4 linked regions of the Danio rerio genome follow. The protein of the gene in region 1 interacts with the protein of each later gene in a pairwise test. Links are inferred from orthologs where the notes say so. Each region holds a gene or a part of one and is shown on either strand. Other genes may lie near its edges.

Region 1 (8,297 bases):
TTCCGATGAGGGGCGGCGCGCGCGCTCACGAGGACAAGCGCTTAGTAGAGTGGAAAGTCAGAGAGCTGCACTCTCAACCTTGACGTTTACAAGAGGTTGCATGCATAAGTCTGTCCTTGCATAATGACGTTTGAGTAAGTATGTTGTGTAGAGGTGTGACAGACGAATGTTATTGTCGTGGTTTGTGTTGAGCTGTCATGAATGAAGAAATTAACAGTGGAAACTTTTAATCTAACAGCTGAGAATTGGCATCACATAGTTGCACACTGCATGGGGAAAATGTGATTATTGTTTACGCAAAACAACAAGAGTGATATGACTTGTACAAGATTGTGGGAATCTTGAGTGGTGCAGTGGAGCCTTTCACTGCCTGTAATGCAGCACTTGATTTGCAGCCTGGCTGTTGAAAAATAATTGTCATTCACAGCTTTTATCTTACTAATGTATTTTAATGTACTAGATGCTGATAGTTTTTGCCTAATCTTTGAGCACTGAACTTATTTTGCTGCACATTAGAGATCTTGTTGAAATTTTGTCCAACACATTGAAAGCTTTACAATTCAGAATCTGTCATATGTTTGAGGTATATGGCTGTTAGTGGATATGAGTCACGTACTGTCAGTAAAATGCAGATTTTCTTTTTAGAGTCTGTTGTTTGGGAACTACATAAGTGCTTCTTTGCACAATGAATTGCATGAAGCATATGATTATTTGTCACTCCTTTGTCATTACAGCTTTGAGTGTTTGCCAGTACATGTGCAATCGATAACCCTACTGGAATCACTTGAATTTGTGTTCGTAGGAGTGTGTGACTTTTTTTGCTCTTTAAACCGTGTGTACAGCATGTCAAAGATTTTCTGTGTATGCATATGGTTATAGTTCAACTGTTATAAAACTTCTCAGTCATGCTGTTTTCTCTCCTCCCAACAGAGGACGCAACAATGCCAAAGGACCCTCTACTGCAGTGAGTTTCGGCTTTTCTTTTTTTCATTTATTCATAGTGTAAATTTATTAAATTGATTCGCATACAAATTTATATTCCCTGTTGAATCATATATACAGTGCTCAGCTTAATTGAGTACACCCCGTTTCGAAAATAAATATTTTTATCCATTTCTCAGTAAATATAGGCAATGTAGTTTGGTGCATTTAAACAAAACAGGTTTATTAAACAGATGTATTTATTAAAGTTATATTTTAGTCACCAGACATATTTAGAAGTATAGAGTATTTAGAAATAATACAATTAATAAATTTGTAGGTTGTATTTTTTTCCCGATATTTTACTTGAATTTAATCAAGCAAAAAAATTACAACCTACAAATTTTCAACTTAATTTTTAAATTTTTGCTTCTTGTTTTTTCCTCATTTTAAATTTTTGTTTAATATTTTTCTATAACAGATATATGTGGGTGTACTAGTTTTTTGGGCCTTCATCGTAAGTTATTTTGTTAGATAAACTCCAGATTTGGCTTCAGTACTGACTAATGGCACAAATATAATATTGTATAGCTTCCTGTTAAAATATGAACATAAAAGATAGATTTTTGAGGGGTGTACTTGTATATGCTGAGCACTGTATCAGCACATTGAAAGCTGCTCAGCCAATTAAAATATAGATACTTGTAAATTGTATATCTCTTTACCTCAGGCAGAAATGTTGTTGATTGTTCTTTTTTAGGTGGCCTTCAATGGAGTTTATGCAAACATGAGGATGGTTCATGTTTTGACCTCAGTTGTGGTAAGTATAAATGCACAGCTGTAATTATATTCTTTTTTTAATCAGTTTTACCAAAGCACAACAAATACACTCCTACTGAAATTTCGTTTTCTGGTTCACCACTCAACAGGGAACCAAATGTGAACTTAAGGTTAAAAATGGCCTGATCTATGAAGGGGTTTTTAAAACATATGGCCCAGAGGTAAGGATACCACTTTGTATTGCTGATGTTAAGCATTTCTATCACTGTTAAGCACAAGAAAAATGTAATTCTAGTTCGGACATAGGTGACATATGTCCATTTTTTTTATTGTCGTGGGCTCTTCATTTGCAGTGTGACATTGTCTTGGATGCTGCACACAGGAAGAGTGTAGAACCTAATGCGGGCCCTCGCCGTGAGGATATTGTGGAGAGCATCATCTTCAAGTCCTCAGATGTAGTGGTAGTTCATTTCAAAGATGTGGACCTCAACTATGCCAAGAAAGGTGAGACCTTCTGTCAAATATTCTTGCTACTTTAATGGGCGTTTTACAGGTTTGAGCTCTGTGAAGTTACAATGTAGATATAGTGTAGCTAAACGGTGTTATACTAATTGCAAGTTGCGGAGGAAAATGATCAGTTCACTAATATCACAATTAGTGCCTACATTGTTTTGAAGGGTTAACATTACACCATGGATTGTATTAGCCAATAAATAAGAACAAACAACAGAACGTTTTTTCTCGTGCAATTCATTTTCTATGACTATCTTACTATTATCACTCAATATCGAATAAAATAATTCTATTAGTTATAACTCCCATGATGGCCAGGGTTTTTTTAGAATTGTTTGATTAAAAAGGTCAGTTCAGTATCTTCTTTCATTTTTATGTGATTATTTCAGTCTAACATCTATACCATTTAGAATCTGTGATGGACGTTATGAATATTCAGACAAATTTGCTGCATCTAAAATGGCACACCTTTCTGTTATAGCTGGATAGTATGTCAGAATTCATAGTATTCATAAAGCAGATGAGAAGTACTCTTATAACCTGCTACGTCTGCTGAGATTCGGAAGGTTGCATTTTTATGGACATTTTAGCATCCCATGAGACCATGCAGGGTTCGAAATTGCGACCATTTTGGTCGCATATGCGCCCAAAATTTTATCTATGCAACCTTAAAATATATTTGGGAGCATTTCTGCGAGTGCTTAAAATTGTTGTGTGCAACCAGTTTTTACTGCAAAATGTTCACCACATGCGCGGATTCAGGAGACATTCACGCAGGATGCATCTCTAAGCTCTTTGTCTGCACTTGGAACGCGAAACGCAGCGCTCAGGAATGGTTTAAAACAGTTGTCATGTCAACTTGCTGCAGTAAACAAAAAAGCCAAGTACGTAATGCTTGCCCTGCCTTCGCGCTCTTCTTATTGGCCCACCACTGCTCTAGCACTGAATGTGAATGATTGGTTAATATCAGCTGTCAATCACTCAGTGCCTTCTGGCTTGGGATGACAGAGAGAGCTACTACCGCGAAACATTGTAAAGCGCTGAAGATTAGAATGAAGATAACAGACAGATTTTGTTTTAGAAACCATGGCATCTAAAGTTATAAATAATGACACATCTTACTAGTGATCATGTGCTGAATGTTAATCCACCATCTACACTTTTCCAAGAGTAGAAGACTTCCATTGGCTTCAAGTCCGCTATGAAAAGTCTGTGGGATGGGATTTTCAGGTAACTGTTCGCCACATCTAGCACAAGAGCTTCTGTTTAATTCTTCATATAATCTCCAGATGCTGTCCGCCGTGCAAGGGGCAGCTATATGTCAAATTGAACACCACGTACACCATCACAAATGGGCTTGGACTGAGTAAACTAATATCGCTAATCGTGAAAAGACCGGTATTGCTAATAACATGTATGCATATAATAAGGTACAGTATGTGTCAAAAGCATCAGTGCAATATCAGACAGCACTTGTGAGAACAGCACTGTTATACCTTTAACAGATTTATTCAAGCAGTGCGTGGAGGGCCGGTGAGCGCTCCGTGCTTTGGTCACTCAGTTCCGTTATAAAAATCTATTTTCTTGTGATAACGGGATTTCGTTGAGACATATTTTCCTCACGATTGCATATATATAAAATTGTTTTTTTGCTTGTTAGTTTGATTACTGTTGATTTCAAATGCAATAAATCTGTTTATATAAAACTTGTAGTAACGGTGCTTATAATTGGTGGGTGCAACTAATTTTTGGCTGATGCGCCTAAATTTTTAAAGTTAGGAGCACCGGTGCTACCAAGCAAAAAAGTTAATTTCGAGTCCTGCCATGGGAGAGGATTAATGAATGAAAGAGAAGCAACAAAACCAAGGCTTGCAGGTTCTTTACATAGGGTGTTTTTACATGATGTCATTGATGATGTGTGAAATTCAGATGGAGGGCAGTAAGTGGTTCTGCTATATAGGAATTGACATCAGAACATCAAAATGTTTCTGTTTTATGTTGTTTATCATTGTTTAAATCAGCCAAAATAAAAAATGTCAGACAGCTTTTATGGACTTTTTTGCTCACAAAGGGGGGGGGGGGGGGGGGAGTTCATGATACTAGCTGAAAAAAGGAAGAAAAGGCGGCATGTAATATACATTCATTCAATACATCCATGTGTACAAACCTTTTTGAACGCTATAATTCTTTTGACAGGACCAATAAAGATTTTATACAGGCATAGCCATGTGTATAAATATGTTAATCAGATACAAACACCACCACACTTATGCAAAATCCAGAAGAATATGAATAACATACCCTGCTATAAAATTGCTGCGATGAAATCTCCGTCTTGTTTCGCAATAATCATTTTGTTTACTGGCGATTTGGTGGAATAAACAACCGTAACGTTAACGTCTATATACAGTACGCAGCAGCAGTGAATGTTGGTTGATGGTTAAGTTCATCATCAGAACAAAAAAGAAATGCAACTCTTGCAACAAAACTAGATGGTTATTATTGTAGAGCACTTTTGTAACATTAGTGTAAACTGTGGTGCATTGTGATCTTGTATAATTATAGCATAGAAAACTGAAACCTATTCAATAATTAGTTTATTTCTACAGTTGTGTTGTACCACAGTAACAATATTATTACTACAACAGTTCAAAATTAATTAATCATCTAGTATGCTTCCAAACACTTCAGTATTTACTATAGTATTGTTTCCATATAACGTTAGAGCTTATACAGTACCTTGATGACAGCAAATATATTTTAGTTTTAGAAAACTCAGCCCTCTTCATATGTTGGGCATGATCCTTATTTTATGTGGTTATTTTCTATTAATTTCTCTTTTGAAATATAGGATAACTCGCAAAAATATGGACTTCTGTGTCTCCCATTCAGCTTTTTACTTCCTGCCTCCATCTGAATTTCACATGTCACCAGAACCACATTGTTGAAAACAACCTATAACAACATGGCAGATGTAGTACATCCAAATGTCATTTTAAAAATGCTTTAGGGTTAGTAAAGGGTTAGTTTCTTCTAAAACAAGCCTTCTGTCTTCATGTACTCTCCCTTATGTTGTTCAAAACCCATGAGGTGTTTAATTAAATTTCAGAGATTTCTGTGGCTCTATTTAAAAGTGAATTCAACCAAAATGCAGACCTTTAATAATAAATCCTTATGAATGGAGCTTTTTAATCCAAATGTTCTAAAGAGACATGCTTGCTTTGTACGATAAGGAGATTTAACACTACAGTATGTAATCTTTGGTGCTCTGGTGGTTAATGAAAAAAAGCTAGACGTACTTCTCTCTCTTAATGTTTATGATGAGTCAGGTACTGAACTACTTCTGAGCAGTATCGACTTATAATAGTCCCATTTAGGCCCATTTATTAAATGCTCATCAAACTGATTTAGAATAGCGCTCAGTTTTAAAGATGTATTCATTGTGATATACCGTAGATTTAATAGTTACTCACTGCAGCTTTAATCTAGGCTTTTAATCAAGTAATCATTGATGCATATAAAAACTTGATGCATGAGAGTCGATGAGGCTTACTCATTTGTGCCATGTAGTACATTTGATTTCTTTTCACAAGAACCAGGTTTGTCCTGGTGCGTCTGTGTTTGCTGATCTGTGCGTGTATGTGAATAGAAACTAAAACAAAAGAACGAAGCGATTGTCTTTTCAGAACACCTTGGAATGGTGGCCCGTTAGAGTACATTGCAATGAAAATAATGAAAAGCAAACATAAGATCACAACACATTCACATTAAAAAAGCAAAGAAGATTGCAACACACCAACGGAAATGCTGCCTACCACTAGGGGCAGTGTCTGTAGATTGGAATTTGGTAATTTATTGATCAGTGGCATCCTGTTGACTATTAATTTTACTTGACCATTTTATTAAATCCATAATAAAATTTAAATAGTGTTTTCTTGTTTGTATTTCATAAATTCTAGAAATACATTAGGTATTAAGTTTCTTGAACTGACTGCAATGTCCACATAACCCATTCATAAGCTGGAGCTCATATAAAACTAGCAGAAGTGATTTTGAACAATTCGAATGTATTTGTGATTGATCTTAATATGTGCGTTTGATTCTGAAACAAGCCATGTATTTGACTGACCATTTTGATATGCTGGGTAATTTATTTAAAAAAATATATCAACATACTTGTTAACCTTTGTGCTTCTCTCTAGATCCTCCTGTTTTTTACTGTTCTATTCTGCTACCATCACTTTTTAATATTTGGGAAGAAATAAAATACAAAAAAGCTGCAATCGAATTAAACAATTCAACCTATTAAAATAAAAATAATACTTTTTTAAGCATGTTTAATTAACATTGAATGACAGAGGTGGTACTTTAAGGGGCTGATCACACTGAACGAGCTTTATGCGTTTAGAGGTGCCTTTTTGAATGGTTTACTAATGAACGCGAGCGTTTTGTGCGCTGCTTATGGACTCTGCGCTCCTCTTGTTTTAACCGCCTGCTGCACCTTGTGTTTTTTCTCTTGTGCGCTGTACGCATGCAGTTGAAAAAAGTCAACTCTGGGCAGAAAAAGCGTGTTTCGTCACTCGCGTCTGTTTCATTCTCCAATCAAATGAAAGCAGGGGTGGGGTTTCCGTGTAAAACATGCTAATATAATACATATAACATCTGTGTTTTTGTCTGTTTAAGCAAGCCTAATGCCGAGTTCAGACTGCATGATTTTCAAAGTAGTTGCGTCACAGATGTTTTCACACTGCATGACTATCTGGGGTAGCTTTCAGTTACTGTTGTGTTTACACTGTAAGATGGATCTTTGACAGTGGGTTTCACACTGCATGACTTCAAAATAGGAAGAATCACCGATAACTTTGTCTCGGTCTGCAAACTACATCTCACAACCAAACACGTGAGAAGTGACATGGAAACAACGCAAGGTCATGTAGTATGTCTTTTGCTATTAATTACATAATGAGAAAGAAGCCTTTAGTGGGGTAGAAAATATGCTTATTTTGCTTATCTGGTTTTTGAAGGAATTTAACAATTTCTCCTCAACTTTTTTCTGTTTTAACCCGTTAGTGGTCTTGCTTAGATGACATGTCAAACAGACACAGGTGTTCCTGCCAAATTTACCAAATTTACACTAGTTTTCAATCCAAATAGACCAAAAAGAAGCACTTTTACCTTCTCGGCCAAGCTCCAGCTGGCCTGCAGATACCTCTACTAGTGGATGCTGCTCTGTCATTGGCTGTAGGTAATCGCCAATGTTATTTTCAATGAGAACATATTTCACATGGCATGATTTGAATTGCCGACAGCTCCAGATATTTAGCATGCCATTCTCTCAGATTGAGGGCCCTATCATACACCCAGCGCAATGTGGCGCAGGGCGCGGCGCAATAGTCTTTTGGTACTTTTAGCTCGGCGCAAGGGTCATTTTGAGGTGTTGCGCCACACTGTTTAAATAGCAAATGCATTTGCGCTCAAATGTGCGCCCATAGGCATTCTGGTCTAAAAAAGCAGGCGTGTTTTGGCGCGTTGCTATTTTGAGAAACTGTAAATAGTCTGATGGCTTACACACTACAAACAAGATGCAGAGCAATACGCAAATATCTTTACATATGAAAAATATATAATATCCTAAGGATATATATATATATATATATATATATATATAAAATAAGGATATATACAGGATATAGATATAAATGATTAAAATATTACAAAACATTTTAATTTCTAGCCTACATGAAGATTTAAAAACCACAGCCTTAATTTCTTCATCTCGGGAGGCTTTTTCAGTTCATTTAATTTGCTTTTGTATAATGTTGTCATTATTATTAGCAGTATTATTTATTATATCCATATTTATATTTGTTTTATTAAAAACAAGCTTAGATTTGTCCACCTGTCAAATTTTAAACCATATGGGGCATGGCAGGTGTATTTGGAAATAACTTAGTATTTTGACCACACTTGGTTGTTATTGTTTATTTATTAGTTTGCTGGAAATTAGAACTGAATTTATAAATAGTTTTGAAACAAATCTTTGCGCTTAACAAACGAAATTAATTATTTATAGGCTAATTGAT
Region 2 (7,821 bases), on another chromosome or scaffold:
TTGTGTGTGTTTGATCACAGAAATGTCCACTTTGTGTACAAAATGCATTTTGTAAAGATCAATTTGACTATTTTGTCTAGTTTTTCTGTAAAAAAGCTTGTTTTTTATTATAATTGTAATTATTTTAGATTATATTTGATTAGTTTGTTAGTTTATTCTTCAAAAGTGTGGTCAAACATGTATAGTTTATATAAATCTAATAAGTCTCATATTCATTCATTCATTTTCCTTCAGCTTAGTCCCTTTATTTATCATGGGTCATTACAGGGAATGAACCGCCAACTTATCCAGCATATGTTTTACAAAGCGGATGCCCTTTCAGCCCCTTACAGTACTGGTAAACACCCATATGGTCACTTATTTAGAAGATCAGTCATTTGAAGAAGTATTGAAAGAAAACAAGAACAAACCAGCTCAGAATATGGATGTTTTTGTGTATGAATATGAATGCGGGATGGCACGGAGGCTCAGTGGTTAGCACTGTCACCTCACAGAAAGACAGGTTGTAGTCGTGGCTGGACCATTTGACATTTCTGTGTGGAGTTTGCATGTTCTCCTCATGTTCGCGTGGATTTCCTCTAGGTGCTTCAGTTTCCCCCAAAGTCCAAAAACATGCGCTATACGTAAGTGAATTGGGTAAACAAAACTGGACATAGTGTGTGTGAATGCGAGAGTTTATGGGTGTTTTACAGTACTGTGATGTGGCTGGAAGGGCAAAAAACGTATCCTGGAATAGCTGGTGGTTCATTTCCCTTGGGGCAACTCCTGATAAATAAGTGACAATGCCAGGGGTCTCAAACTGCCGGCCCGCGGGTCCTTTGCAGCCCCCTTCCTCCTCCCTCCGCCCCGCAACTGACAGAAATATAAAGAGTTTCGGCCTAACAAAACTTATATTTTTGAATCACTATCTGTGCAGTTGCATATACACTTGTGGTTTTGACCAACCACCTACTGGACATTTAAGGTACTGTACTATATATTTGGGTTACATTCGGTTTCTGTCGGTGTGCGGTTGAGAGTAAATCACATGCAGATTATTTCTGGGGCTGATTTAAATGTTGTAATATATGTCTGTAAGTGCTCTATTTTTACTAAAGCTATATTTTTGTAAATATTCAAGGGCCATTTGATTATAATCCATTTTATAGCACCTGTATTTTGTTGTACAAACACTTCTTCATGGCTTACACGCTATGCTGGTGGTGTGAATATGATAATTTTGCTAATAATCGATTCAAATGGTCTCATTTAATAGATTGTCTTGATTCGCATATTAAGATTTGAATTAAAAAAAAGTGCATTAATAAATTTTACTGCTGGCGAAATTGAACATGTTAAAGTAAATGTGAATAAATACATACTTTTCCCATCTTTGTTGTGGTTTTACAAAAAATAATGATATTGAGAAGAGCAGTTGCTAGTACAGTCAATAAAGTTACCCAAACTGCATTTAGCTGTTTCACACTACATGTTAAACTTTTGCTCAAGCAAAAATTGATTTTGACATAATAATAATTATTATTATGCCTATTATTAAATTGTATGTTTTCCATATCAATTTAAACTACCCCTTCAATATGTACAACAAGAAACAAAAAGAAGGAGCTTTGACACTCTGTGGAAGAATTTCTGAGTGCATCAGTTACATCAGGTTTCCACTTTTTTTCTGTGCTAGAATGTTAAAACGGCCCTCCTGTGAATTGTCAGTCACTGACATGGCCCCCCGCCCCCGCCGATTTGAGTTTGAGACCCCTGGACTAAGCCAAAGAAAAATGAATGCATGAATGTGTATGCTAAATGATTTCGCAACTTTATTGCACCCATATTTTAACATATTTTACAAGTTATTAGAAACATTAAAGTAGACCCTTTACTTGAGTTTAATTAGCTTTTTCTGTGTTTGTAAAATCACTTCTGTAAATTTAATTTAATATGAAATTGACTCCTATACTCAGTTAGCAAATGAAAATAAATAAATAACATACTCAAGCTCTTGAAGGCTGCGCTTAAACTGCAGATCTTTATGGTCAATTCCGATTTTGTGGCTGTATCCATTTTTTTTGATGAGCCGCTTACATCATCATTTAAAAGTTACTCGAATCTGATTGTCTGCATTTACACTGCACGCAATGACAAGATGCAATGACCAGAAAAAAAAGAAGGGACACTGACTGACGGCTGATAATAAAAGAGCACCCTTTTCTCCATTCATGTGTTTAATCTGTAATCTGTTAGTTGTTTTACTATAGTTCTCATTGTTATCCATCTTCTTTTAATCTAGGCCTTTTTAAACCACTAGGCATCTTAATGTAATGTCCATGGCGTGATTTATGCATGTGATGCAATAGTTTTAAGGTGCGTTCAATTTCTTGCATCTCTGCGCAGACCGATCAAAATCTGTCTTAAAGTGGTGCATGAGATCAGACAATTAATTCAGTCGGTGCAACGTTAGAAGAGCAACTGCAGGAGCTGTGATGACGACACTGATATTACACTATTGGCTGAGTTCAGCGCATAACAACAACCATGTGTGTATCGGGTTTATTATTAGACAACTTCTTTTCACTTTTTATGCCATCTCTATCTTGTATATGTATCATGCTTATTAAATGACAACTAATATTTGACTAGAGTAATAATCTTTTGTTAAATAATTAGTTTATAAAGGCTGGATTGTTTGCATAGGTTTATTTTCTGTCTTTTTTATACAGACTATAGCTCCATGACTCCAGACTTTATAGAGCATTCAGCTCCATGAAGAATTTAAATTATAAATTGCAGTGAATAACCTAAATATTAACTTAAATAAGTTTTACATACTTTTAATAAAATAATTATTATAATTAATCTCAAAACCCTAAGGCTTTCTTAACAAATTAAGGTAAAGAACTATTTTATTTAATAATTATAAGAATATTTATCCTATATGGTTATAAAATATTTTATTTGCTGTCAAGCCGTTTACGCACAAATTTTAAAGGTGACATTGAGGTACCTTGCTTTTTCTGTTTAAAGAGTTGCTCACTTATTTTGAGCTCACTTATTTTATTTTTTTAAATGCTTTCATTATCCAAAATTATTTTAATCATTGTTTAAGACGTAATCAAAACACCTTGTTTTGAGTTTTACACAAATATATAATGGAAAGTTTTATATCTACATTTACATTTAGTCATTTAGCAGACGCTTTTATCCAAAGCGACTTACAAATGAGGACAAGGAAGCAAAGGTAAATAAATGTAAACCCATTTTTAGCATATTCAAACAAAAAGTATTAGCCTAAAGAGTGATGTTTAAAGTTCTAGAATTTGTGCTTATTGTTTTGTATTTAATAGGCCTATTCATTTTTATGTTTATATTTCTCTCTCCTTTCCCCTTATTTCTCTCATGCATTTGTTATATAATTAATTCATAGTTCCCTTATTGTTTAAAAATTAACTAGTCGGTAGAGACTGTATTCTGTTTTATGTATACTGTAAATCTTTTGTTGTTATACAATACAATATGTATTTATAAAGCACATTTAAAAACAACCAAGGTTGACCAAAGTGCTGTACATAGGAGTACTAAAGACAGAGAAGAAAACAGAATATAAAAGAAACATTTAGCAATTAAAAGCAATAATCAATGATCTGTGCTATTTAACAATATAAATGCTTATTTTTTGTTCTAGTATATGAAAAGTAAGGTTTGGGACTCTACTGAAGTCTGTTCCGAGCATCACAGCTGACATCATTCGATATGGTTTTTAATGACGCACGATTTGCGACTCGAATTGATAGGTGAAAATCCGATCTACTTGTTTACACTACAGACACGAGGGCACGGATCTGATCAGATAAATTTCCACATATGAACAAGGCCTGAATCTGATTTGAGTAAATCAGACTCCATTCGATTTTTTTCCAGCTTACACATACATGGGCCATATCCGATCTGTGCCACACGGGAGAAAAATTCGGAATTGGGTCACTTGAATCATGCAGTGTAAATGCAGCCGAAAGGTACAGTTTCAACAGCAAAATTTATCAAGATTTCACTAATGTGACCACAACGTCATTTTTTCTCATATTTATCTTTTGTTATTTAAATGTTATATAATTATCTTGTTTTAAGGATATTTACTGGAAAATCTGACCATTATTCGGATCTCCCTGCATCCATGACTTTTTCTTTTTTTATTATTATTATTTGCTCTGTTAACTCATGTACATTTCTTTCAGCCCTTTTGCGTTTTTTTTTTTTAAGTAGCTAAATGCATCTGTTCTGGCATGAGCTGTGTCGGTGTGCTTGCTGCATGATGGAACGTGATTGGTTTTCGTCCGCGGGGTACAGTATGTACAGCAAACAGTCTGAATGCTAGCATAGGTCTCATCTGAGCTGTGTCAATTAAACATGTCCAAACCCGTGGCTTCTCTTGCAGAATGCTTTCGCACCCTTGACTGATGCCAAGACCAGAAGCCACGCCGATGATGTGGGTCTCGTTCTTTCTTCTTTGCAGGCTAGTATATACCGAGGTGGATACAGTCGTTTCGCGCCATATTAAAAGCAAACAAAAAATGCATTACAAAAAATCATAATAAAAACAGACAAAAAAAAATAAACATTTCAAAACCTATTGAGAATCTTCCTGTGGGGGTAAAGGAGGAGTAATTCAGAGGCCTGGGTATTGCAATACATGCAGTAGTGCATCATTTTAGCATCTCTCAAGAGAGAGAAGACAAAAACGGATATTTTTCATCTTATACCTCAGATATTTTGTGCTGTGTATTTTAATATTGTGGGTTTTTAATTTCTAAAGATTACATAGATTGTTGGCTGTAGAGGTTTCTGTGGTGATCTAGAGAGCTGCTAGATTTTAAAAAGACGAAGAAGAAAAAAAAAAGAATAATAAGATACAAATTGTTAGGGCTTTATCATGTAAATGAGTTCTGTATGATAAATATACGAGTCACTTTGGGGTTATCATATTTTGTAAGAGTGTAAGTGACTAGAGTCGTCCAGTGGTTTCTGCTTTCGTTGACATTGCCTTTACGTCTTTGTTTTGTTCTTTTGGTTTCAGTTGTTTTTGGGTTCTGTGGCGTAGAGGACGAGCACGCAGGGGATGGTGGGTACGAGTAGATACGGGCGTCTGCGTGGTAAAAGGTCAGTGTAGTTGCAGGAGCACAGCAGAGACACAGAGCCGGTCAAAGAGACCACGGAGGTATCGATTATTTAAGCTGTCTTATATCAGTCATTACTCAAAGCCAAAGGTTATGTTCCTGGGGTGTTCCGTGTGTAGATTCCAACTATACATAGCAGCTCGTAGAAACTCCCCGAAAAGTTCACCACAACAGTATTTTACTGTTTAACTATTATCTAGTCCCTAAGTCCAACCCCTCGCTAGTTTAGGCCTACCACGAGATGTTCTTTTTATATATTACGGTACTTCCAGTACGTCGATTGATATAAATGCTGACTTTTATAATACGGGAGAGACAAAACACGACGAAAAAAAAAAAAACGAAAAAAGAAAAAAAGACGCCGACCATAGCGCCGGTTCTATTTTAATTTAGTTTCTTTTACCTTTTGTTTTGTTTAGTTTTTTTTTTTTTCTCAAGAGTTTATTTGTACAAGCTGAGAGTGGGAAAAAATAAACTAACAGTGTATTAAATTTGATCTGTGCAGTGAAAATGTTCTCTTATACGACAAACACAACTGTATAATGTTTTAGATTTAGTGTGGTAGACCAACTGTTAGAGAAAGGTGTCTCATTTTTTATGGAATCATACACAGATTTATATCAACACTTTACAAGTAATGCAATCATTATGTAGATATAATCATAGTATTTTTGTCAACTGTACAATTTTGCACACACGACCTGCAATTTTTTCATCACAACTTCTTCTCCTCCTTCTCCTCCTCCTCCTCACTTGTCTGTTTTCTTTCGTTTTCTCTGCTTCCTTCGGGTGTTTCGTTTTGATATCATTTTTAATGTGACATCCTTTGTACTATTATTTTCTAGAACACAGCCTTTACACTTTGAAACTGTTTGATTATCAAGAAACTGAGAACTATATGACTTGTGAAAAAGATATCTATATGTAAATAGGAATAATGATAACTATGTCATTTACAAGTGCTACACAAGCAAGCTGTCGAGGTGTTCTTGAAGAGTCGCAGCTTGGCTGTGCATATGCGAAGACTTCCCTTCATGTTGTTTACAAGTATACCTAATTAGAGGTGTTTGTCACATATCTCATTTTTCTTTATTTTGTATTTATAAAACGTTTCGATTGCATAAAAATACAAACAAAAGAGCAGCTCCAATTTATCCGGCTGCAAAATATCCTCTTGTGTACTGTGTGCGTCACATCACACAACTTGGCAAAAATATCTTACCCACTGCTGTGATTCTGCTCTTTCTGCTTTAAGTACGTGTTGTGGACAGGCTTTCTCCTTGTCATTGTATGTGCATGCACTATGATCTGCATAACAATAACCATCAATAAAGTTTCTCAAGATAACGGGAACGGCTCTCGGAACTTTCTTGTATTCAGATGACGGAGAGCGTTTGTCCTCTGATCTGATTTCATTGCCTGAAATTGCATTGCGATGCTCAAGGCGAAGGGGAAATGATCATCTCCGAGGAGGTTAAGTGGAATTGATGCTGCCAGGTCTGAGGTGGTCATCTGTGTGCCTTTAAGAAGACTCTGTGTTTAGGATGAAGGAGAAAGATCCGATTCCGGCGGCGTGATTAGGTTATCCCACTCGCTATCTGGGATATGAAAGATCTCAGATCCTGCAAATATTTCCACATATAAAAGAAAAGAAATATGGGCTTATTTTCAGCCTGGGCTCATGAAAGATGTGGTGACATTTTTGCTAAAATTATATTAGGCTGCTTCCTGCACGTTTGCTTCACTTTCAAAGTGAAACGTCGCTAAAAGTCATTTAAAATTTTTACTACAGTATGCAAGCAAACGCAACTGTTGCAACATTTTTCTTACAGTTAAAGTCAAAATGATTTGCCCCCCTGAATTATTATCCCCCTGTTTATTTTTTACCCCGATTTCTGTTTAACGGAGAAAAGATTTTTTTCAACACATTTCTAATCATGATAGTTTTAATAATTTATCTCTAATAACTGATTTATTTTATCTTTGCCATGATGATAATGAATAATATTTGACTAGTTATTTTTCAAGACACTAGTATTCAGTGTAAAGTGACATTTGATGGCTTAATAGGTTAATTATGCAGGTCGGGGTAATTAGGCAAGTTATTGTAAAACGATGGTTTGTTCTGTAGACTATCGAAAAAATATAGCTTAAAGGGGCTAATAATTTTGACCTAAAAATGTTTTTTAAAAATTTAAAACAGCTTTTATTCTAGCCAAAATAAAACAAATAAGACTTTCTCCAGAAGAAAAAACATCAGACATACTGTGAAAATTTCCTTGCTCTTTTAAACATCACTTATATTTTTAATATTTAAAAAAGAAAAAAAAAAGGGGGGCTAATAATTCTAACTTAAAATCTATATTAGTTTGTGCTTAGATTGTGGCTTTTTGAAAATTTTATTATTATTGTATTTATAAAATTAAATGTATTAAATGAGAGAAAAAAAATATATGATTTTGGATTGTCACGATCCAAAGATTAATAGCAAACTTTAACCCTAATCTGCATCATCACTGAAGTCGCACGCAATTTTAAGCTCTTCACATGAAAGCAAACTTAAGAATTCATTGAATTATTTTTTGTGCACACACAGATAGCCATGTGTCCTTTTTTTTTCCTTTTGAAAGTGAAATGTCGCTAAAATGCAACTGTTTAC
Region 3 (8,903 bases), on another chromosome or scaffold:
CGAATTATACATAATTGTATGCAATTACAATTAAATCTGCATTCTAACTCTAATCATATAGTGAGTACATGTAGTTGTTTTTACTCAGTACTTGAATTAAAGGGGTGGTCCACTACAATACCATATTTTAAACTTTATTTCATGTGTAATGTAGCTGTGTGAACATAAACAACATCTCTGAATGTAAGACACTCAAAGTTCAATGCAAAGAGAGACCTTGGCTTTTACAGAGTTAGCTTAGCATAGCCTACAGCGAACAAAGTTTGGGGACTACAAAATATACATCCGACTTATTGATGTCATAAACCCTACTGGTTACGTGCATACACCTCGCGCATACACTTCGTACAGTGAAGGGGCTTGGCCAGATGTGCTGTACAAATTAGCACAATACAGTAGCTACAATCCTGCCCAAATGCTGCTATTTCAACAGAGCTTTTCTATTTCTGTATTTGGACTTCCAAAGGACAAGACACAAAGAAAGAAGTGCTTACAGTTAAATTCTTATTATATTTCAGAGTATTAAAAAAATATTTAGCTGGCATTTCACAAAGGACAGCTTCCAAAATCTCTCCTAGTTCAGTGCTGGACTCCTGTATTGTGAGCCACAATTTGTAAGTATTTTGATTTGTTAAAAATGACTAGTGCTAACAGTATGTTGTAGCAAGAACATAAAAACGCATGTAAACAATGGGAAATTCTATTTGGCAACAATTTAGCTACAAATTCATATTTATCAGTCAAACCCATGTAAACATCCACAATCTTCATCAGCGCTGTAGTGTCTCTCTATGTGGCCGCGTTCCCTACATTCTACATTTCAAATAATGAACTCACAAAAGACAAGTGAATGTTTCATATTAATTACACATGCTTATTCCGAATATATGTAAAAGACATGTAACGTTGAGTAAGATGATAAAATACAGGATAGTTTGCCTAACTCGTGTTCTATCAGAAAAAGCTCATCCATCAAAGCTCAAAGGGAGGGGTCACATTCCACATCTTGCGTTTTATTCTTCTGTTAAAAGCGTCACTGTATATTACAGAAAAATAACTTAATTCAAGCATCAAAGGGAAAAAAAAAAAATTTAAAACGGCCCCGTTCTCATGTTACATGAGTCTACAGACTGTTTACACACACACACACACACACACACACACACACACACACACACACACACACACACACACACACACACACACACACACACACACACACAAACACACACACACACAAACACACACACACACACAAAATAGAAATTCTCTATTAAAGGAGCCACCCCCTGTTTTCACTCATTACAGAGACTCGTCAAATGTTATTTTAGAGAGCTGGCATGAAGTTCATCCTTTTAATTTTTTGTCTGATTAAGGCTCAAACAAATACTTTTAACCACTACTCCTACTCAGACACTATTAACACAACAGAATCAAAGCGCGTGCTTGTGGAGGCGTGATGATTTACTGATGACATGGAGCCTATCTGTGAATTACAGGCATATTATGTTAGATGACCAATCAGAGCCTCTTGAGGGCTGGACTTTCAGAGGAACTAGGTAATATGACAGTCATTTTCATGTTAGCTGAGTACCTGTATATAATCAAAGTAAGATATTTGAAAAAATAACGTGATTTTTTACAAATTGAACATGAGCACACATTGCTTTGCATCTTATAAACAAAACCAATCCTTAGTTAAACTCTTAAAATAAGGTTTAACCAAGTATTTGTTAATCAGTAGTTGCTGTGCTATATGTGAAAAATCAGCCATTCACATGAAAGTGGGTGTCTCTGCATCACCATTTATCGATATCAACTTTTTCATGTGAACATGAAATTGAAAATCTTTCACCATTCTCTCTTATACTGCATGTTGAGAATAAAAATAAAAAGTCTTCTAAAAAGACTAAAAAAATTATATTTATGTTCTGTTTGTACTAAAATTGAACATGAGAACATGCAAAATTTGAAATAATTAATTCTAACACTGACTCTGCATAGACTTAAATCCTGTAGGTGCTGGAGATTAGAACAAAACAAATGAGCTGGTTCCAGGAAAGAACAAACTACTGCTTATCACCAAAGTAGGCTTAGGAAATCATTTAAAGATAGTAGGCTTATGATATAAAGTTAATGAGCTTATAAAATTTGAATATTCTATGTTTTGGTGTTGCAACAATAGATAGAGTTAGTTAACCGTTAACACATCGTTTGTTATAATTACTATATTTATAGCCAAATAATATAAGTTAGTATATGGGTGAAAGCACTTTAAAACTAACAAATGTCTACTTCCCTATTCTCTACCAAACTGTGCAGGGCCTTTCTCTCTCAGAGGCTTTTGCCCCTCTGCCATCTGGAACTAAATCTGCCATCTGAGGTAAATCAGCTGGAACAAATGTTTTACCCATTTTGAGCACTGCTGCATTTTCTGAACCGGAGCCATCTCCTCCTGAGGCCAGATAGGGGCTGATCACCAGTTACCTGCACTAGGCACTGTACTATTAACTAGCTTGCCAGTGCATGTTTTTTTCAGTGACTATGTACTCACCTTACAACAGGCTCACCTATTTAACACTACAAAAGGCATTCCATCCTGAAAGTACTATTTTAGGAGGGTGTATAATCTGCTCTCTACAATTTGAAATAGTCTTCATTTCTGTGAAGATGGACAATAGACAGCTCACAATTTGATTAGCATTTAAAAACTTAGCATTTTACTGATAACTTAGCATTTTACTTAGCATTTTTGATAAGCATTTTACTGATAATCTTGAACATACTGTTCAAGTGCAGGAAGCGATGTGCTAAAACACACAACAATAAAACAATATATTTTAATATTTGTAAGGGAAAAACATCTCATTCTTTAGGTGGTAAAATGTCCCACTGTTTAGGGTCATTTTAAAAACACTGGCCTGCCAAGTATGTGGTACAGCTGACAAAAACTTCAACAGAAAAATGTGTGCACTGCAGTAAGCAACGTCCAGAATTTGTAATAGGGGAAAGCAGAAAAAAACATCAGCCATGTTTGGGACAGGCGCTGTGATGCATAAATAGTGCCTTACATCAAAGAAACCTAGAGATAGAAGCTAAAGAAATCTCTACATGTCCAAGTACACTACTGCTCACAAATGAAAAAAACAACAACACGAATTTGTGACACTGTGATCAACCATTTCAAAACACCCAATGGTAAAAAAAATCAAGAAAGATGTTCTCTGATTGCATAATTTTCATCTATTACATGTAATAAAACAGAAATGACATTTTCTGTACATAGGCTCAAAATAAATTCATAGTTGATGAAAACAGAATGTGTGTGTGTGTGTGTGGTCTTTGTGTATACTCAAATAAAAATCACTTTCATAAGACACTTACAAAATCTCTGCATAATTACATACAGCCAAACAGAATAGTCAAAGACAGTTTTCATGAAATCTCACCTCAGTTTTGTGCAACAAATCACAATTGGCTAAAAAGCCAGATGGTGTGAACTAAAGTGTTAGAGTGCTGGAAATGCTTTGTTTTTTTGTTTGTCATTTTAAAACTAAGTGCTCATGAACAAAATACCTTATAAACAAATGCTTGTTGTCTCTCATGGCCTATTCAGGTACACAATTTGAATATAATCTGAATGCTATAGTTTTTGTTTTTATTTTTATTACATTTTATTTTGTTTGGTTAGTAATGGGCAAACCTATGGTTCAAATACAAGCAAGTATTTACTATGCAATTAAATTTCCAAGAATAAATAATGGAGGTAAAACTAGTTAAACCTGCCTCTGCATTTCACAGAGCAGGCACTATATTTTGTCACGACTGCAAGAAGGCTGTGTATAAAGTACACAGCAAGCTGTGAGATGGAGCAGTGTGTTTGAGGAACCATCTGTTCTACAGAGCAGCTCTGAGTCATGCCACCCTCTCCACTCTGCAGCGTGCACTGATGATGTCACAGCCTGACGATTGGTCAGAATGAGACAGATTATGTTGTTTAATGTCAGGCAGCTATGCAAGTCAAAGAATTTCATGTTAAGAACAATGTAAAGGGATGCTGGAGTCATGTTTTTCCGCGTTTGAGATTGTATACTTCAAAATGGCACAATTTAAATCCCAAATTATGTCTACACAAAATTACAGTGAGACATGCATCTCTCATTCCTCTATTAATGCAAGGTGAATCTTTAAACAAGGACACTAGATGGAGAACCAAGAGTAATGCAGCCTCACAAGGTAACCAGAGATTAAATCTAGTTTTATGTCCACTGACACAAACATACAGAAATTTACACATACACAGAAAATAATGATAATAGTTGAAATTAAAATTCAACCAGATTTAGGGGGCTAATATGAAAAAAAATAAAAATAAAATAAAATATATATATATATATATATATATATATATATATATATATATATATATATATATATATATATATATATATATATAAAATGGCAAAAATTCCAATTCCATAAAATTGGACCTAAAGCCTATATGTGGTGGCTTTGGCATCGTGGATTTAAAGTGTCACAGCATCACGACTGCTTTAGAGGGCATCGAGGTCAATTTAAGGATATGAGCTATTATGTAACAGCCCTTATCTACGCATCTTAAAATATTGATGTTCACGCGTTTTCATTTCAACGGTGCTGATAAGAGCACGGAAAAAAAACACAGAACATCCTTCATCCTAACATCTGAACGAAATGCTTTGACAGCGACTAGCCCGATGGCAACATATAGTGCCTTCATTTGTTTATATTACGGTGCGTTGAATAAAGCACACGCTGTTCAGAGTGAAGAGCCGCATTACGATTCAGGACACAAGCTGTTCTGTCTGCTGTAGCACTGCAGCAAACCCATTTTCAGGCTCGTAATGGTCAACAGAACAGAATGCTGAATTCATGTACCGTTGCATCTTACCTGAGTGGCTTTGTGGAATTGTTTCTTCAGTCCCGCTACAGACATGGTTCCGATTGGACTAGTGCTATTCTTCTAACCCCTGGATGAGATGTAAATATGTTCAGAGATACGGGGATGAGAGACGTTCAGAAATAAACCCTCGTACACTGGGAATCACCACACGAGTAGGCTGATTATAGCAGCTGATGATGACGAGGCTGTGACATCACGCGTCAGGTTCCGCCTCCCCACGGATTACAGCTGAGCCCCTCCTCCAGGGGAACCTTCAAGGTTAATTCAAAAAGGCGTTACGCCAACAGGTACATTCAAGACAGGTCAGGGGAGAAACCGTACCGTATATATATATATATATATATATATATATATATATATATATATATATATATATAATAATCAATACTAATAATAATATTAAGAAGAAGAAAAATGGCAGACAGGGGGACTCTAGGGAACACTGAAATTTTGTCGTAAAAAATGCTCTCTCTCTATAGTGGGGATGTGATTTAATATATTTAGATTGTCAGCCAACACTTTCTGGATCAGGTGGTTGGATGGTCCTAAAGCTATCTGGTAACACTTTATAATAGGGTTTCAATAGTTTAAGTTAGTTTATGTGTTTACTATCATAAACAATATGCTTATCACAGTATTTATCTTTGTTAACATTAGTTACTTTAAATAAAGGTAGATCACAGTGCATTAACTAATGGTAATAAGCACAGCTTTGGATTTTAATAATGCATTTGTAAATTATGAAAATGCTGATTATTAATAAATGCTGTACATGTTTTGTTCATTCATGTTTGTAAACACGTGAACTAAAATTAACTAATGGAAACTTTTTGTAAAGTGTGTCCAGATATCCCAGTGTCATAAACCTGTTGCCTTGCTGTAATAGGCATAGGCATTGCAGCCAACATCTGCACACAAAGATTCCAAGAAATCAGCAACATCAACCTTCATAAAAGATTAAAATTACTTATCATTCTTAAACAGGAATGTACAGTAACCACCAGTGTTACATTAAGACAACATGTACAACATGTACAATTTGTAACATTATAAAACAGTACAATTTAATCAATTATATAATACAGTGGTTAAAAATGTGTCTCACAAAGTACTCCCATCTCTGCAAATTTTGCATGACTACCTGTTAAAAGACCAGACAGAACTTTTTAGTTGCTTATTAGAAAAAATAGGGACCAGTTTTGTGAAACACTGCTATGACATCTTATGTATTTCAAGTTTATGTTATCTATCAGCAGTTAATATTACCTATTTGCATAATATTAAAATTGTCATTCTGCCCTTGTAGTGCTCATCCACAGCAGTCTGTCATAAGGAACAGCTCAGACAGCAAACTTGCAGCTGGATTGACAGAGGTCAGGTATCCACTTCGGCCATTTCATTTAGCTGATCCAGGTGGTTTAAGGCAGTCAGTTGAAATGCTCTGCAAGCTTCTACCTATGTCAGGGCAAAAGTATTTTCCATGGACTCCAGAATCTAGAATGGCTCATTATACATCAGTTTCAGCAGATGTCTCTGTGCATCATGTCAAACTGTACCTGGGAAAAAATGTAGCAGGAAACTCAAGCCTTCACTCTTACATAAATAAAAAAAGGTTATTTATAGTCGTTTATGTAGAATAAAACAATGGGTCACACTTTATTTTAAAGAGCTCCTATTTTATCCTATTTGATGTAGGAGAAGTCTATGTTATGTTTCAGCTTAAAATAAACATCAGATCATATATTATACTCTGCTAAAAATGTCAATATTGCGATCAGAGAAAAGTGTGAATATAAAAAAAATGGAATAAATACATTTTTATCATACTGCTGGCTATATTCACACACTGTTGCTGCAAACTGTGCTCAAACCCTTTATAAAATGGATTTTTGCACAATAGGTCCCATTTAAATGAAAATGAGCTGGTTCTCCTTGCCCATCGTTCCACCATACCTGTCTGTTTCTCCTGTGTCACATCAGATAAACAGCACAGTGACAAAGACAGACACAAATGAAGCAGAGACACAGTTAAAAGTCCTAGTTAAAATATCACAGTAAGAGTCAACCAGGACATTTTCCAATGATTATTTGATGTATTTGTTGTGGAGTTTTTTCAAGCCTTTCTGCAATGATCCACAATTTGCAATCCACAAACACACACACACACACACACACACACACACACACACGCACACACACACACACACATAGATATATACACTAGATATCGCATAGGGACCCTCAGCATGCGTCAATAGCGCCGCCACATTGGTACAGTGCTCCCAGGACATATGTCATTCAACCGCACTAGTCAAGACAGTGTTATTACGTGAAGATGCGGGACTTTAGCGCTGTCTACGGGTGTAGTAACGAGCAAACAAAGAAAACAAAGCACAAAGGCAGAACATTTCATAGGTAATATTACGTTTTTTTCTGTTTTTGAATGTTCTGAACTTTTGTGCTAATCAGGTAACGTTATTGATGATGACAGCCACTTACTGCATTCACCATACGGCAAAGCAGCTCCAACTCGCACTAAACACTCGGCTTATGGTAGTTTTTTTGAAAATAATATTTTGTTTAAAATCAGCAAACAATGCAAAAGAAATATGAAGAGATGCTGCGCTGCCAGAAACTTGTTTTATTGTCGGCTAACGTTAGTGAAAGAGTCGTTCGGGGGATTCATTCACAAACGAATCGCTCTCTCCGTCAGTACGAGAAGTGAAAGCAGGAGAGGAGCTGTATTTCAGGACACGGATTATATTAAATTTAACAGGGAGGGTGAATAGTACATTTCTGTACACACAAACACAAGCTTTTTGTCAGGAATGCCCGTGCGGTCACTGATCCATCAATGTAGAAAAGTGATGTAAAATTATAATTTTTCGTAGTTAGAAAAAAAAATTACACACTAACATCCAGAAAAACTCCCGATCATAGATATATGTGTATATCTCTGGCTTTGGATGGCCACAGTCCTCCACTGTACCTTGGTCCCGCATTCATTTCAAAGGAGCGCTACCCTGTAGCAAGATGGCGGCGCTATCGACGCATTCCGTCCAATAGATAACAATAGGCCAGGCGACATCTAGTGTATATATCTATGACACACACACACACACACACACACACACACACACACACACACACACACACACACACACATTTAAGTTTGCACTGTTTTTGCATGTCTACTTGCAGCAAATGTGGCAGGATACAAGTTAATGTGCATTGTTGAATGGATGTCCATTATGCTATTGTACAAAATAAACCTGATTTAATGTCCACAATCGCTAAGCCCCGCCCTTCTTAGTTACTGTTGCTACGCCTGTCAAGCTTTCGTGCCTGTCATGTCTATTACAGTATGTATGCTCGGGTGTCAGACATTGCCAGAAATATAATTAGTAATTTTTGGTGAAGAGGTGAGATATCTGAGAAAGCCAGACAAAAAAGGACTGCAGTATGCATTACAGGGGGACATTCATGACAAAATAGGCAACCGATTAGAGAATAATTGAATCAAAATTGAAGTTAGGTTAGCCTAGCTACCTCATACGTTGACCATTCAACAGCTTAGTTCATGCACAGCAGGATAGGTGACATTTAAAAATAATCTAGTAATAACTATTTAAACCGTTATTTCCCCCTTTTTTTTTAGCCAAAAAGCCTGATAGACTTTTGTTGTGCAATGAAATATAGCATTACAAACCAGCGAGGAAACACGCATGGACAGTGCTTGTACATCATTTATAGAAAAGGGCAGAAAGGGGAAATTTGATGGATTTGTGCCGAATATTTGACCCATAACAATGTACAATACCTATAACTGTCAGTATGTTTGTTTGCTCTTTATATAGTTTCTATTCTAATTTGCTGTTAGGTGGAAAAAATAAATAAATTGAAATGCCGATTAAAGTATAAATAGCAGAAGTGAACAAATAGATTGTCCCTACCAGCAAAT
Region 4 (8,297 bases), on another chromosome or scaffold:
CTGTTAATCAACTTCACAGTTTTAATTAATTTTTATTCTCAATTAAAACACAAGACAGACTTAAAAAAGAAGTATTTTTTTAAACATTAATTTATTTAAATCAGACCAGCAGCACAAAAATAAAAAATATTATAAGATGAATAATATATTCAGAAACAAAAAAGCAGAAGTTGTTGTACTTAACCCATAAGCATGTTCCTTCACAGCTTGAGTATAAAAACTAGCAAAAATATACAACAAACACAAAATCTTTATGAAATAAATAAATGAAAGTAATCTGAATTATCATTCAGAATCAATTTGGTGAAACTCAGCACCAAAAAAACTGCTGTTAATGACAACCATAGATTTGATGCATTTTAAACAAAACAAAAAAATGACAGCTTCTCAAAAATGAATCAATGAGCAATCAAACGTGGTATGTCAACAACGTAATCTGTGTATATCCAAAGCAAAATCTGCTGTTGTATAACAGCGATTAAAATATGTAAAACAATTTTTAAAATCACTGCATTTTTTTCTGAACAATACAACACTACAGTATACATTTTAAATAGCATGTTCTAAAATGTATCAGAAATATGTCACTCTGTCTACTAAACTAGAAAACTTTGTTATACAGATAACAAATGTGTCCTTATTTACAAACATAGTAGTATTGGTAATAGTAATTAATAATAGTAACGCTAATAGTCTACTCGATCTCTCTCGTGCGCACTTGACTTTTGTCCAGTCTGGTGCCTCATACACGACTCGTCTTCTTTACGGTGGTTGGTTGTCATCCACCAATCCCACAGTGCATCTCCACTGTAAACAGGCAGATATGGGCTAGACTGCAGCCAAAATTAATTGACTTACCAAGTAACCAACAAACGCATCATATTGTAATGATAACGGAGTTACTATATTTAAAAAGTAATGCATTACAGTACTTACTGTCAAAAATAATGCATTATAAAAGATTATTAAAGATGTCAACCTGCTCGCATGTACCCCTAAACACAATGATGGTGACTGTGAGAGAACAGTTTTATAAACGTCTGGCCAACAGCCTTCTTTACAGATAGCACCACCGTGACATCTGTAATTTGTTTTGTATTTGCCGCAGACAGACATCAAGTTGTGCTTGCACAAACTCAAACAAAAGACTTGACATGATGAGAGTGGCATATCACTTAATATGACCCCCTCCAAGTAATTGAAATCTATCTGAGTGGTCGTGCAGGTGGTACAGGCTAGTGTTGTTATTTTGTACTGTGTCCTCCTGTCTGACCCCTGAAGAATGAGAAACATATCGAGGAAAGAAGTCACATGCCAAATAAGGTGTGGTTCTAGAACACACCCACCGAATGTGGAAACGCCTTGGACCAATGGTAGCTCAAAGGGTGTTCAGGAGGCAAAATGAACTCCCCCAAATGTTTGTTTTGGTGAGCTGTTTTAAACTGCTAAAATAAACTCAACTTTACTGCGACCGGATTTTGTTTGAAATTATTTGATTTCATTTGAACTATAGTTTATTGAGGCCAGCAAAAGGGTGTTTACTCTGTTGTCAATGTGGATCCTAATGCTCCATAAGGATCCCAAAATCTATTGCCACTTCTTGTAAAAGAGTAATCCTGGACAAAATTCCCTTCATCTCTATCACCTTCTCTCTATAGCTGGTGTGTGGTGACTGCATTGTTGCCATTGCTGCCATTGGTCATCAAGGTTTTGGTTGAGAAGAGATCCCCTGAGCGCTCTGTAAAGGGCTTTGGGTCACACTATATAAAACACTATATCAGGGGTTACCAACCCTGTTCCTGGAGAGCTACCTTTCTACAGATTTTAGCTTCAACCCTGGATCAAACACACCTGAACCAATTAATTATGACCTGAAGCAGATAGGTTTGTTAGATCATGGTTGCAACTGAAATCTGCAAGAAGGTAGTGCTGGTTTAGTGACCCCTGCACTATATAAATGCTTTATTCACTCAATATTCAGTCATACCCATACAGAGATGCTACTGACTTCTCTTGTGTCCTTCTCCTGTTCTCTAGGTTTTCATTCATACTCGTTTAAATGTATGCTTTTTGCATATTTCAGTACATGTAGCTCAGAAATAAGCATATTCTGATGTAGAGAGTGCGCTTTGATTCATGGGAAGCATACATCACCGCAAGCATTCAAGCTTAAAACCTCTCGAAATGCCTTTATAGTAAGTTCTAAAGCCATCTGTGTAATATTGTCATCAACCATGCACGATTACTTAAATCATTAATTAAAATGATTATGATAATTGGGTTATTAACATGCTTGATTGCCCTTGTCTGATGCAAATTATGGCAAAAGGAAAATACTTAGAAGAGAGGTTGGGGGTTGGTGCATAGAGAGATGAAAAGATATATGAGCCAAAGGGAAGGAATAAGATAGTAGGGGTGAAAAGTGGAAAAAGAAGCAGGAAACACTGATTGAGAGAGTGCTGAGAATAAACACCCTGCTCAGCATCAATAGCCGTCAATCACTGATGTTCAGTCGTTGTGTAACCATTCTACTCTACTTTGACTTAAGAGCAAACACAGAGGACATTCTCCTGCTGTTTGTATTCAGCTAAGGACTGCTGTGTCTACTTTAAGAGATGGTATTACCTTTGTGAACCTAAACACAACCTCTACTATGTATTAGTATTTCCTTTTAGTGTTAGTATATATATATTATTTCCTTGTGGTACATACGCTACTTCAAAGAATATTATAATAGTACCATGTCTAAAGAAGCATTGTTTTAACATGTCCAAACAGTTGTAGTACAGTCTTGGCATCATATAGTAATACAAAGATACTTGCATAAGTCTCAGTACCATGGTACATGTCCAAAAAATTAGGTAGTACTGTTTGGTGGTACTTTATGCTATTTTTAGTAGTGTCCAAATTAAAGGGAGGGTTTCGCTTACATCGGTATCTGCCTCCTCTTTTATAGCACTGCGACACTTGTTAAATCATCTGGGCCTGTTTATCATGCAAAACCATCCTCCCACTAGTGCTGGACAACAGACGCAGCTGAATGGGTCCAATCAATAGAGCTCAGGGAGGAATGTCAAACAAGCCGTAACACTGCACAGCATCATTGTTTTGTCACGTGTCTCCCCATACAATCTAGAGTAGGAGGAAGAGGAAAAAGAAACTGTGCTAGCTTTCTTATTTGATGGACAATTTTTAACTTAACATCCAATATAGAGAGACAGTTCTAACTTTCCTAATATACTTATGCATTTATCAGTTTGTTGAGGCATGTTATTTTACAATAAATATTTGTTGAGCTGCTGTTAAGATAGTCCTCTGTAAACGACTGCAAGCTATTTGTCCATTCAGCACCACTGTGGCATAGAAATAAATCCTGATGCACAAAATATTTACAGCCTTCATTTTTTGGTTTCTCATTTTCTTCAGTTTACATGGCTTTATCATCTAAAAGCTGCTGAAATTATGTTTGTGCATTAAACCTGATTATGTTTCTTTATTATATTTCAGGTTCTTCCTGCAGTCCTGGAGACTCTCTCTCGGAAGGAAATGATTCCACATGAATTGCATGGACCGCTCTCCCGCAGCAGGTGTGACTTCAATTGCTTAAGACTGAAATCTGTGTCAATCCGACCATAGGCACAGGACACATCCCCTCTCACCACCACTCTCCTCTCTACCCCATTCCCATACTCGCTCCAAGCCAATCAGTAGGAGGGCACACTCTGTTAGCAAGACAAACGGAGACCAGGAGGGAGAGGAAAAGAGCCAAAAAAGGGGAAAGAAAAATCCGGAAAGAGTGGTTCAAGATTTTCAGACACCATGAAGTCAAACCAGGAGCGGAGCAATGAATGCCTGCCCCCAAAGAAGCGTGAAATCCCAGCAAGCACTCTGCCCTCAGAGGAGAAGCCCATGGTGATGGCGCCTGCCAATGAGAGCCAGCGTGGAGGGAACCTGGCTTGGCTTGCCAGTCTGGCCAGTGGGCATGACAAAGGCCGGCTGCACACCAGCACGTCTGCAGAATCAGATGGGCCTCAATATAAACCATTGTCAGCCACGGCTGAGAGCACACCTTCCTCGTCCACACACTCAACCAGAGCTCTATCTGCAGTGACCACCATACCTGCAGTGTACACATCACCTCTCTCCCATTCTCCTAGCGCAATCCAGTACACACCCCTCCCTCACAATATACACTTCATCAACCCTCCTTACTCTGCACCATACGCTGGCTACATCTCTCCACTAGCTCCCCCTTTAGCTGCCACCACTACCACACAACGTGAGATTTATGCCAGCTCCTCCAGTTCTCCAGCATCCAAAATTGATCAGCACCACCAATTGGGCCGTCCTCAAGGCCTGGTCACAACTGACAACACCTCTTCACCTCACTCCACTCAATATGTTCAAATTGCTGGTTCTCCACTAAGCATATCCCCTCGAACTGTTTCGTCACCGCATACACACTTGCCCCTACATTTACATCCTCACCACACACTTCCCCTTAGTGGCCCTTCACAGGTCTTAGTCCCATACACAGAAAGTCTTTTACCCAAGAGGGAGGAGATGAGGACCAGGGAGTTGCTGAATGGAGAGCTGGAGAAGGACAGACGTTTTGGTCCATCTTCTGAGTCCAGTGCAGGGAAGCAGGGCAGCACTGCCAAAGGGGGTTCCTCTGCCCAGCAGCACCAGATCCACCAGCAGCAGAGCCCACGTCACTTTGAAGCTCGACATGTTGTGCTACCTGCCGAGTACACGCAGGACAGCACAGCCATGAGGACCTCATTGGTGCTGGTACCTAATAATCATAGCTCCACTAGTGCTGATTCTGGAGGTGCATCAGACAAGCTGCCTCCCTCGACATCCCACCATGAAAAAGGAGGGATTTGTGCTGGCAAACCTGTCTCCCGCAGTTCCTCCTTATCTTCCTCCCTTTCATTTGCTCTTCCCCCTCCACCTGTGGACAATCTTAAGGGAGCAGTTCCAGCGCAGTCTCCTCATGCAGTCATTCAGACCACACTTAACAGCACAGAGTCACTCTCTCTAAGCCTCCCCTCCACTAATTTCTACTCCACCCAGCAGCCTATCATTGGTTACTTTGCCGGCACAGGGCACCAGCAGCCTCTCAGCTACCACACCACCTTACCCCAGCACTTGGTCATCCCTGGAACTCAGCCGGTCATCATCCCAGTAAGTGGAACTGAAGCTACCGCTACATCAACTGCTGCACTGCCCCATGCTTTCGTCACCTCAACAGCCCCCAAAGTGGAAACTTTTGAATCTCCGGCTCCATACCCCCACCCTGCCACAGCTATGGTTCAAGCCCAGTTGCATTTGCCTGTGGTTCCAGCACCTGCTGGCCTGCTGACAACTCCACCCCCACCCTCAGCTCCTTCAATGCCACCCTACTTCACCAAGGGCTCCATCATCCAATTGGCAGATGGGGAACTGAAGCGGGTGGAAGACCTGAAAACAGAGGATTTCATTCAGAGTGCTGAGATTAGCAACGAGCTGAAGATTGATTCCAGCACTGTAGAGCGCATCGACAGCAGTCATACAGCTAACTTTGCTATAATACAGTTTGCTGTAGGAGCGCAACGCTCACAGGTGGGTTCATAAGTTTTCTATTTAACATTGCTGCTTGTAGACACATCTGAGTATCTGTTTTTCTTATGCACAAAGATAAGCGGGGAAATAAACTTGAGATTGATGACTATGTGATATTAATCAAACACTGTGTACCATGTCTGCACGTGGTAGTAAAGGGTTTATTATTAAAAAAAAAATCTAATGGAGTTGACCTTTGCCTAAGTTTTAGGTGTGTGTACAGCAATTATATTGTCCTCCATATATTATATATTGCCAATCTTTATGAACCATAACTTCCGTTTGTTTCTTGCCATCTCTGAAATTAGCATTTTTAACGAGTTTTTTTAATGTTTATATGAACATTCCATAACTGTTTGTTATTAAAGGTGCAGTAGGTGATTGTCTTCAGAAACACTTTTTGTTGTACTGGTTGAAAGTCTCTTTACAGTCCAATAGTAATGATTACAGTAAATAATCTAAATGTGTTTATATGTATTTTTATATTCTGGTTAAGGCATAAAACTAAAAAATGTTCATCCAATTAAATAGAGTCAGACCGACATCTCCCATAATTCCGATAAGCAGGTCAGACTGTCTGTCAGCAAATGTAGATTCGGACTTCTGCGCATCTGTTCACGCAGATCCGCCATTAGGACGTGCCCGTCTGCATAAGCGGCCGCGCGGTCACGAGACGGACCGGTAGAAATCAAATGCTTAATTGAAACTTTTAAAAACCTGAATCAATATTGGAGTTACTTTAGCAGGCTGGTGGAAGGACGACATCATGGCTGAAGTATTACTGTTAGACATGTAATGTTCTGTTTTAAAACTATTTTAGTCAGGCTAAGCTTATGTTAGATTGTGTTCTGCTATGAATGACTTATATGCACAGACGTGTTGTTCAGACCCTGAAATCTCCCGGTGAAAGATTGATGTGATTATTTTCAGTTTCATAAGGTCCTTTTACAGCATCGATGATGTAGATCAGGGGTCACCAATCTCGGTCCTGGAGGGCCGGTGTCCCTGCAGGGTTTTGCTCCAACTTGCCTCAACGCACCAGCCTGGATGTTTCAAGTATACCAAGTAAGACCTTGATTAGCTTGTTCAGGTGTGTTTGATTAGGATTGGAACAAAAATCTGCAGGACACCGGCCCTCCAGGAACAAGTTTGGTGACCACTGATGTAGATTTATGTTTAGTTTAACAAGAAAACATCAGTAAATAGCGCTATTTTGCCTAGCCTACTTTATTGAGCTGAAGTTGCTTTTATATTCACATTGGGTCATTTTTGAACAATGACAGCCTTCCTATACTGTTTACCATGCTACTCTGAATAATCTGTCTGAAATAGCATGTAAGTGTGGCTAAGTAATAAATGTAATTCCCGCACAGCACTGGCACTGACTAACTGGCGAATTACATGAACTAGTGGGTTGTCTGTCTGCTGTTGTAACGCGGTGCGCGCGCTCGCGATTTCAGGGGGTGTAGCTTTGAATCACAGTCCCTCCCCGCCGTCCCAATATAATATGCTAAGGGGTTATCGTTTTGGCAGATCACCTACTGCACCTTTAATTATATACAGTGCATATTTGAAGTATATCATTTACATTAGAATCCAAATTGCAGTTATTTGAATCATGCCATTTTATGAGGTGTGATTACAGTTGAAATATCTTGGCAAATTGGCCAAATATTATGACGGTTTCATAATATGCAGATGGATTCCAAAGATGGGTAATTTAATTTCATGTTTAACAATTGTCAGTTAAAAATCTTTACAGCATTTGCAATTGCCCAGGGATCTTTTTTTTTTTACTTTACATCTTCCGTGCAACTTCATCATCTCGCTTTGAATAAGCATATGGTAGTCATTAAGTTTATATTTTTATATGCTGTGAGAGTGTGAATGTCCCCTTATATGAACTCCACCTGCACTCAATCAGTGTAAGTAGATGTGGGGCAAATTGGCAGCTGAAATCATCTCCCTGTTCCATAATCCCTCCCCTGGCTGTCCCCATGGCATCTTTGTTTAGTTTGTGTGGGATTCACTGGCAGAATTGAGTCATTCCTTATTTCTGCTTCCTTCTGTTGTACTGTGAGTGGGCTGTATGAAAAATCTGCTTCATTTGTCTGGGAGTTGAGATGGGGCCACCCACTCGAAAGCAGTTCTAAAGTCTGTCATTTCGAGAGGCACTGATTAACAGATGCTTTTTAGCAAAGACATTCATTCATATCATCAGGCATTTGTGCACGACTTCTACTTTCGGAAGTCATTGTCCTCTCTTTTTGACTCCCTTTTTCTTTTGCAGGTCAGTGTGGAGGTACTAGTAGAGTATCCTTTCTTTGTGTTCGGCCAGGGCTGGTCATCTTGTTGTCCGGATCGGACTACTCAGCTGCTCGAGCTGCCATGCACCAAGCTTTCAGTGGGTGACGTCTGCATCTCCCTCACCCTGAAGAACCTGAGGAACGGTTCCATCAAGAAGAGCCAGGGGCAAGTCTTGGATGCACCTGCACTCGGTCCACCTCTTAAATCACCAAAAGCACTCTCAAGTGGCGCACGAGGGGGTGTTCGGCACACAGAACAGGAAAATGGACTCGGGCAGTGTGCAGATCAAGGAAGTAGAGGCGGTCAAGGCAATAGAGAAAACGGAGAACTGAGGTTTGGTGAAAGGGACAACTGCAAAGCTCCAACACTCACAGAATCAGAGACCA

The links.
Region 2: the proteins of atxn2 (region 1) and rbfox1 interact in binary tests that used the Homo sapiens proteins (3 or more experiments, as listed by UniProt). The link is inferred for Danio rerio from reciprocal best matches to the Homo sapiens genes ATXN2 and RBFOX1.
Region 3: the proteins of atxn2 (region 1) and sh3gl2a interact in binary tests that used the Homo sapiens proteins (3 or more experiments, as listed by UniProt). The link is inferred for Danio rerio from reciprocal best matches to the Homo sapiens genes ATXN2 and SH3GL2.
Region 4: the proteins of atxn2 (region 1) and atxn1a interact in binary tests that used the Homo sapiens proteins (3 or more experiments, as listed by UniProt). The link is inferred for Danio rerio from reciprocal best matches to the Homo sapiens genes ATXN2 and ATXN1.

What each region holds. Positions count from the first base shown.
Region 1 is NC_133180.1:42,584,815-42,593,111, reverse strand, and holds part of atxn2 (ataxin-2), read left to right. Parts: intron 1-930; coding exon 931-964; intron 965-1,681; coding exon 1,682-1,741; intron 1,742-1,850; coding exon 1,851-1,922; intron 1,923-2,054; coding exon 2,055-2,205; intron 2,206-8,297. UniProt on the Homo sapiens protein: Involved in EGFR trafficking, acting as negative regulator of endocytic EGFR internalization at the plasma membrane.
Region 2 is NC_133178.1:26,725,799-26,733,619, reverse strand, and holds the end of rbfox1 (RNA binding protein fox-1 homolog 1), read left to right. Parts: intron 1-3,909; coding exon of another isoform or gene 3,910-4,004; intron 4,005-4,423; coding exon 4,424-4,546; 3' UTR 4,547-4,548; downstream 4,549-7,821. UniProt on the Homo sapiens protein: RNA-binding protein that regulates alternative splicing events by binding to 5'-UGCAUGU-3' elements. Regulates alternative splicing of tissue-specific exons and of differentially spliced exons during erythropoiesis.
Region 3 is NC_133176.1:28,417,369-28,426,271, forward strand, and holds the start of sh3gl2a (SH3 domain containing GRB2 like 2a, endophilin A1), read right to left. Parts: upstream 5,078-8,903; 5' UTR 4,976-5,077; coding exon 4,931-4,975; intron 1-4,930. UniProt on the Homo sapiens protein: Implicated in synaptic vesicle endocytosis. May recruit other proteins to membranes with high curvature. Required for BDNF-dependent dendrite outgrowth.
Region 4 is NC_133194.1:34,915,022-34,923,318, forward strand, and holds part of atxn1a (ataxin-1a), read left to right. Parts: intron 1-3,507; 5' UTR 3,508-3,819; coding exon 3,820-5,604; intron 5,605-7,894; coding exon 7,895-8,297. UniProt on the Homo sapiens protein: Chromatin-binding factor that repress Notch signaling in the absence of Notch intracellular domain by acting as a CBF1 corepressor. Binds to the HEY promoter and might assist, along with NCOR2, RBPJ-mediated repression. Binds RNA in vitro.